2 linked regions of the Solanum lycopersicum genome follow. The protein of the gene in region 1 interacts with the protein of each later gene in a pairwise test. Links are inferred from orthologs where the notes say so. Each region holds a gene or a part of one and is shown on either strand. Other genes may lie near its edges.

Region 1 (4,425 bases):
ATACTGAATATAATTATTTTACCATACTATTCTTATTAATTAATGTTTAATAAAATTAAAAGATTATTTTTGCGATTGAATTATCGAACTTAGAGCCTGTTTGGCTCAGCTTAAAAGCTGGTTTTTGACTTATTTAGCTGTTTGACAATACTCAAAACAGCTTATTTTAAGTTAAAAAAAACTTATTTTAAGCCAAAAGTTAAAAGCTGGTGTTGGGGTGCTTTTTTTCCCAGCTTATAAGCTGTTTTAAGTTGACCACATTTTTACCTTTTTGCCCTTAATATTTTTATACAATCTCCAAATTATCCACGTAACCCTAACATCTCTTTCTTCTATTTTTCCCTTTTCACGTGTGGATAATAGACAATTACTATTACTAATGAATGAAAATAAAATAAACCTTAAATCTTTCAAGTGATCTATTCAAATTATATATTATTAAAATGTAAAATAAGTTGCACATATAACTTAAATAAAAATTTATATTCCTCTTATAAATAATTTGTGATAATAAAGAAATATGTGAATGATAGACAATTATTATTACCTATGGATGAAACTAAAATAAAATATTAAATCGTTCTTTAATCTATTCAAATTATACATCTTTAAAATCTATAATAAGTTTATATTCCTCTTATAAATAATTTGTGATAAGAAATAAATATGTGAATGATAGCAAAATATAATTATTTATGGCTATAAAATATAAATTAATTAACTTTTATTATGTTAACAACTTTTAAGGGTATTTAAGACATTTTGATTTAAAAAGCTGTTTATCAGCACTTATTTGCCAAACACATCAACAACTTTTTTTTTAACTTCAGCAATTTTATCCAAACGCACAACTGCTTATTTTAAAAATAAGTTTCAGCACTTTCAAAATTACTTTTTTAAAGCTACTTTTATTAAGCTCATTCAAACGGGCCCTTAATTTTGAATAAGTGACTGAGAAATCACTTCCAGTTCACTTTTACTTTTTCCTCTATTAAATAAATATGCTCAGAAAAGCAGTAAAATAAGTGGAATCAAGCATGTAATAAAAGTAATTCATTTTTAAAATTAACGTTTAAATTAAATCGGAATTAACAACACGAAAATAAATTACTTTTTTTTATGACAAAAATTAAAAGACAATGATTTGATTGTTCTTTGATCCAATAAAATTAATTTCCTAATTCCCCAAACCAAAATATTTATTAAAATTTTTTCGAGGTTGACCCACTCTTTAATAATACTTCTAATCAAATCAAACAACGCCACGTGTACAAACCTCGACATATGGGCCATCATGTCTTCCCCAATCAAGACCACATTTGATCCATTTGTCCAAATGACAAAACCCTTAATAAAGTCCAAACCCTTAAAGCACAATGTACAACCAAACAATGCATTGTACCCCCTTTATATCCATTATATAAATACACGGTTTCCGTTATATAATAACGACAGAATTTGACGGCGTCAGTTCCTCCTATAAATACCTCTGCAAATTTTCCAATGTTGTTTTCTCTTACTTTGTCTTCACTCTATTTTTGTGCTTTTTTCATTACATTTACATATATTCTCCATCTTCTTTGTTCTTTCTCCCTTCAATTTTTGTTTGTATTTGAAATTTTATCAAATTAAAAAATTGTCGCCGGAGACTCGCCGGCTCCGGTGAATATTTTTCTGGTGATTTGGTTATATATTTCTTCAAGATTTGCAAAAGGGTATCCAAAAATAGCAAAAAGGAAGAATTTTGTTGAAGACATTTTGAATATTTACTGAAGGATTTAAGCTCAGTTTCTGCAAATTTTGTTGTCCATTCCGAGGTATGAATACCCTTACAAAAAATTGCTTTTCGATTTGCTTATCTTACTTTTCATTTTAGTTTTTTTAAAAAAAATTCGACAACTCTTTATTTAATACGTACATCTTAACAGTGGCGTAGCCACATATAATGAAAAATGGTGAATTAAACACCCTACAACGGAGACTTATATTATATATATATATATATATATATATATATATATATATAAATTTATTTAAAAAATATATTAATTCTTGAATGCTTACCGTGAAACACATTTTACAAATCTTTAGAACTCGTTTGGAATGATTTTTCATTTTTAAGTTATAAGTAAAGAAAAAAGCTATAAGGTAAAATTATGATTTTGTCTGATTTTAGTTTAAAAACTAAATGTTTATAAGCATTTTTACTAACTTACACAGATGCTCTAACAATGTTTGAATCTATTACCTCGAAAACATATAAAATAAGTCAATACAAACAGGTTTTTAAGACTAAAACTATGAGATTTAAAAATATTTTTCAAATCTCATAAATATTATTTCGAGTCAAAATCAAATAAACAAATTAAAATCGACACATAAAACTAATTTTTTTTTTGTTTTGGAGGGTTGGGTCACTATCAAGAGTGTTTGTCTGTATGTAGAATCAGTGGCCGCTTTCAAAACTCGACAATGTCTATTAATTTATACAGCGATTTATCATTCATTCTATACTCTGCTCCTACTCCTATTTTTTTCCACTTTTTTTTTTTTACTTTTTTATTTTATTTTTAAAAAATATGTTATAATTCATTAATAATGATGAATTATCTGTCAGAAAATTCGGCTCTGGTCATTGATAATTTTTTTTAAAAAAATTAAGGTCTGTTTTTTCTTCTTCTTTCTTTTAATTATGAATTTTCTTTATTTATCTATACATTAAAGCAATGTTACAGAATGAGTTTTTTTTTTTCTCTCTTTAATATATTAACAAACACATACTCTTTTCCCTTTCTGTTTTAACTTCTTTTCTTTTTGTCTTTTGGTAGATAAATTACAACATTCATGTATTTATTTTTTCATTAACTTCATTTTTAAAAACAACTTCTTTTATCTATAAGATAAAGCTAAGATATACGTATATTTTATATCATACTTTGTAGGACTACATTCGGTATACGTTAGAGTTTTCTTCTAATATTTGAGTTATTTTTCATTTAGAGAATTCGATTAGGTCAAATGAACACTGTCCTCAAGTAACTGTTTGTGTGTGTATAAGTATATATATATATAGGTAACACAGATCCCGCTTTTTTTTTTTGTTTCAGTCAAAAATCTATTGAAAATAATCTTTTATGTATTTCCAAAGTGCGATGTATATTCAAATTTCTCTATTTTATGATATCATACTAAATTCGTTATTGTTGTCGTAGAATTAGTATTAAGATTGTCTGGTTTTTATGTGACTAAAAATTGTCAATGTTTTACATTATTTTCCAAGAAGAAAAACAAAAAAATGTATACTAAATTGTTTCTCTCACTTTTCATTTTAATTTTGTTTCAAACAAACTTTGCTTTTTATATTTAGTAAACTTTTTAAAATTCAACATCTCATCTAACATACATAAGTTAGATAATAAGATTCAAATTTGCAACTTCTGTTAAATTATGCTAAAATTATAATATTCAAAATTCTCTCTCACAAACGTAACGAAATATCCGTTTTTGTTATAAATATATGTTTAGTGAATTTTTTTTGGCATAATACATATATTGGATCCTAAATTTGGCTTCAAATTTTAACTTTGACATTCAACTTTCATAATGTACAAACAGACACTTTAACTATCCAACTTTTGAATAAATAAACTCATGAGTCCTACATGACACAATACATGTAGGACAAAAAATGACATGTGTGTATTTGTTCAACTTTATACATGTTTAAGTGTCTATTTGTGTACGCCCAAAGTTAAAAAAGACATAAATTTAAATGTATTATATCTTTTTTTTTTACTCTTAACTCATTTTAATTATTTTTTGTAGGAGAAAAGATATAGTAAGGGAGAGTGTAGGAGAAGGATGTTGACATGTATAACGTGTAAGCAAAAGATAGAAGATGATGGAGGTGAAGAAGGACCTCGTGGCCGTGCTCCTACTCCCCATACTAAAGATTCCATCAAAAGCCTCACAGCACAGGTACTATTTTTCTACTTTTGAAATTTCATTATAATAATCTATTTCGAATATCATATTTCATTATTATTATTAAGACGTTTGTAGTTTGAAGACGTGATTTCCAGCTCCGCGAGATAGTGATACAATTGGTATAAATTTTCCCTCTCTCAGATCCTACTTAGTGAGATTTTACTGAATATATTCCCGTTACTGATAGTAGTGAAGGCACGAGTGAGACTCTTCACTATTCAATCAAACCCTTCATTCGAGTTTTGACCCTCATTTGTATGGTTTAGAGAGGCTTATTTATCTTATAATTTCAGATGTTATTTCGATTTAATAATACCGTTTATTATATTGAATTTCATTGTAGTTAAATTTAAATATTTTTTTGTCAAAAATGTTTATAAACTTTTTTTTTTTCCTTCTTTGTTCAAAGCAAAGCTAACTCTTAGTACGAGACCTGTC
Region 2 (4,295 bases), about 5.9 Mb from region 1:
ATATAATTTGTTGTTTTTATCATGTCCCGCACCGATTCGCATAAACCCACTCCACCTGCCTTACATAATTTCTAAAAATATTAAAATACTGAATACAGTTTGTTTTTACCTTAATAATTCTACTTTATCAATTGCTTCATATGTTTATGTAACTGCTAAAATTAATAGGCTAGTGTAGAACTATAATGCAATTTTATTATACTCTTTTAAATATGTCAGTAACTTTTTTTTTTTTGATAATTTTGAATTGATTACATAAAATACTGAATGCTAGTAACTTTATTTTTCTTTCTAGTTTTTGGCCATTCAAAACGGTTTTTTCATAAACTCTTTTGTTCATCATATGCAGTGCCCAAAAGGTGCAAAACTGGTATGAAATGTGTGAATTTATGAATTTAAAATATTCATTTTCAAACCCCAAACCCGCCCCGCCCCACTTGAATTTTAAAAAAATCTATCTAAACCAATCTCGCCTTGCCCCGTCCGCTCCACACCCACAAAAGCTTTGACCTGCCCCACTCCACTCCTGTCTCACCGCATTGCCATCCCTAGTACTTAAGTGGCACTTTCATCAACGTTTTAACCTTAGACAAGGTATTTATGGGCCGATTTGAGTTTTTGTCGTTGATCAAAATTTTAAATAAAATTAATTTAATTATATATATTATTTATCAATTACTAATGTTACACGAAAATAAAATACAAAGTGGAATAATAGAAAAAAACAAATTATTTTGCAAATATAGGATAACAAAGCAACCCATCAACCACCAGTTATGACCTTGAAAACCCGGAAGACTTTTATCCCTTTCATGAAAGGATGATCAAATTCGACTTGAAATGGAGTTTAAGAAACGAAATCAAAATTTGTAATTTTGTGGTTCTAAATTAAAGTTATATATCAAAATTTTATTTTAATCTTGTGATCTTAAACATGTTACATGGAAAGTTAAAATTAAAATATTGCTTTTGTTATATATTTTTTTTGTTTTTCGGCTTAGATTCTAATTGACCTTTTGTTGGACTTTTTTCTTTTAATTTTTTTCACTTTCATAAATATCTATAAGATATTCAAATTATTCATAAAACTTAATATATTATGTATATTTAATAAAGATATGTATATTCTTTTGTTTTGTTTAACTCATTAAGATATTATTGAATTATTTTTTGAATCAAAACCAAATAAAGTGAATTATTTAATCATTCCGATTTAGTTTATTGGATCGAATTTTACCCTCACAGTGAATCTCTACGGTATGTGTGAGTTTTGTAGGTTTACTTGATCCCTTATTATTAATTAAAATTAATAAAAAAGAAGTAAAAGTAAGGTTAAGATAGTTAGAGAGAAGGAGTTCAGTTATATTGTTTAATAGGAGTTAAAGAAACTTTAATTGAGACGATGACAAGGACGAGCTCACATGAACCCAACCAGATAATTTGTGGGCCCCGACCCAACGAGCGAATGAACTCGGAAGAAAGTCTAAAAGAGAATAACTAGGATGAAATTTACCTAACTTAAAAAAAAAAAAGAAGATTCCACCCACTTAGACAAATTACCCACGTACCTTGTCTCTTTCCCTCTCCCTCTCACACACAGACACAAAGAAGAGAGAAGAAAGAGGCGGCTTTTGAATCTGACTACTCCGGAATGGGTGATAATTAATGAGAGTCATCACGGAACGACGACAAAAACAAAAAAAATAATTATATATTTTTTTTCTTTCAACCCTAGCCAGTCACACTAATAACTACGCTTTTTGGGTCCTATCTGATTAGATCTATGCTGGGTCCTAAATCATGAATTTCTTCTCAGATGGACGTGGCTTCAACGATCAAGGCCCATTTTCTCATCCTGATTTCTCCCATCAGCAAAGAAGCACCACTAATAGTAGTGATATGGCAGATGAAGTGGGTGAAAGTAACACGATTGAACGAGAACACATGTTCGACAAGGTAGTCACTCCCAGTGACGTCGGCAAGCTCAATCGGTTAGTCATCCCCAAACAGCACGCAGAAAAGTATTTTCCTCTGGATTCCTCTACCAACGAGAAAGGCCTCCTTCTCAATTTCGAAGACACGAACGGAAAGCCTTGGCGCTTCAGGTATTCCTATTGGAATAGCAGTCAAAGCTATGTAATGACCAAAGGTTGGAGCCGCTTCGTCAAGGAGAAGAAGCTCGATGCTGGGGATATTGTCTCATTTCAGCGTGGAGTCGGTGAATTGGGCAAGGATCGTCTCTTCATCGACTGGAAGCGCCGTCCAAACGCCCCCGATCATCTCCACTTCATGACTAATCATCATCTCCATAATAACTTGTACCGCTCTAATATTCAGTACCCAGCTGCTGCTTGGGATCGTCCTCTCTTTTTGCAGCCTCCTGACCAATCACATTTACAATATTCCCTGGAACCTGCACCTGGCAGCATGTCTCAGCAACAACAATCTCACGGATCCAGTCCTAATTATTACTATGACACTTGTAATTTCATCAACAGCCGTACAACCGTGGTAAATGGAAACCCTTGTCCGAGCGGATCAGTAGTTTATCTCAGATCGGGGTCAGCCCAAGTTCCACAGCAGGCTGGGTTAATGCAATTAAGAGGTCACAGTAATAGTAGTACTAGTGGCAGGGTTGTGGAGCCAGTGGTGTTCGACTCCGTACCAGTTGTTCAAGGCAAGGCAGCAGCAAAGCGATTCAGGTTGTTCGGTGTGAATATGGACTGTCCCATCTCAGACTCATGTGAAATCACGTCCTCATCTTCTTCCTTGCCTAATCCCGCAGCTACAACAACTTATTCTCATGTCCCCCAATTTTCATCATTATCATTCAGGACTTTTAACGACTATGATACCAACCGGCCGGCAGCCACCGAAGAAGAATCATTTGACAAAGGCAAGGCATCCATGTCCTTGAATTTGGATTTGGACATTTGATGTGTAAATTGAAGAGAATTAACCTAAGTGGTGGACTGGTACGGGCCATCCCGCACAAAGAAATCCCGTCCTTGAGTGTCCAAGTTAAATTTGTGTAATAATACGATTTTGAAATATTTTGCAAATACTAGTAAAATATCAGGTTATTTTATGTTTGATTTTTCAACAAGAGGAAGAATACTACATATATTTTCTATATACTTATATTCATAAAAAAAAAAATATATTTCCTTATCTCTCTCGATCTAACAAACTTTGCTGTATTGATTTCCTAGCAGTGGGAATGCATAGCTAGCTCCTCACTCAGGCTAATGAATGATGGGATCCGAAGGGAATTATCAAAAGTCGTGCTTTCTTTTTCATCATTCATTCATGAATTTTTGTTTTTATTACCTTTGGTAGGTTCTTGTTCTTGTCGCTGCTTCACTGGGCACGCCCCCCAGGTACTGCGGTTGCTTCAGATCTAGCTAGCTAGCTAGCTAGCTAGCTTTTATAAAAGGTACGTACATAACATTTCATCTTGACTAACTTGGCCATCTATCATCAACTGATCATACGAGCTACCAGCTACTTCTACTAATATCTATGTATAGTTAATATCTTCATTCACTAGTCACTAGTCGTCATTCATATATATTATTCTTTTTTAAAATCTTAGTAACTTTTTCCTGTATGCCTTTTCTATTCTAAAAAAAAAAAAGAAGAAGAAAAGAGCTAACATATCAACAACAATAACATGCCCAATAGAATCTCACTAGTTGGGTTGGAGAGAGTAGAATGTACACGGATTTTATCACTACGTCATGGTGATATATAAACTGTTTTCAAAAGAACCTAGCTTAAGCAATTCCAAAAACAAAAACAAAAAATAAACATATCAAGTCACAAAAAATAAAAACAATCAAATTTTACTGTGGCAAAAGCAAAATAACATAATAATTGAAGCACCATACACAACATATTAAAATAGAGTAATGGAAACAATAATAAATACTGATGGTTATAAAAAAACGAGTACTAGTAATAGTACGATGACAAACACCGACTACTCTACGTACGACAACACTACACTACCTACTATAACCTTCTACTCTGATACATGCCCGTTACACCCTCTTATCTAAAGTTATGTCCTCAATAATCTTGGGCTGAGTCATATCGTGTCATTCATCTTTTCTCTAATACTTTTTCAGTCTATCTCTGCCTCTCCTTGTACCCTCTAACCAACCTCTTGCACCCCATCCCCTCATCTCCTCTTCACATAATCTAACCATCTCAATCTTGCCTCTCTCATTTTGTCCACCACGGAGGCCATTCCCACCTTATTCTGAATATTTTCATTTCTAATCTTATCGCTC

Evidence for each region. The genes of interacting proteins can lie anywhere in the genome.
Region 2: the proteins of protein BREVIS RADIX (region 1) and B3 domain-containing transcription factor NGA1-like interact in binary tests that used the Arabidopsis thaliana proteins (3 or more experiments, as listed by UniProt). The link is inferred for Solanum lycopersicum from reciprocal best matches to the Arabidopsis thaliana genes BRX and NGA1.

What each region holds. Positions count from the first base shown.
Region 1 is NC_090807.1:62,148,262-62,152,686, reverse strand, and holds the start of protein BREVIS RADIX, read left to right. Parts: upstream 1-1,509; 5' UTR 1,510-1,817; intron 1,818-3,825; 5' UTR 3,826-3,861; coding exon 3,862-3,978; intron 3,979-4,425. UniProt on the Arabidopsis thaliana protein: Acts as a regulator of cell proliferation and elongation in the root and shoot. Regulates roots architecture and primary root protophloem differentiation.
Region 2 is NC_090807.1:68,078,350-68,082,644, forward strand, and holds the start of B3 domain-containing transcription factor NGA1-like, read left to right. Parts: upstream 1-1,467; 5' UTR 1,468-1,800; coding exon 1,801-2,896; coding exon of another isoform or gene 2,897-2,937; exon of another isoform or gene 2,938-3,088; intron 3,089-3,339; coding exon 3,340-3,404; 3' UTR 3,405-3,436; intron 3,437-4,295. UniProt on the Arabidopsis thaliana protein: Regulates lateral organ growth. Functionally redundant with NGA2, NGA3 and NGA4.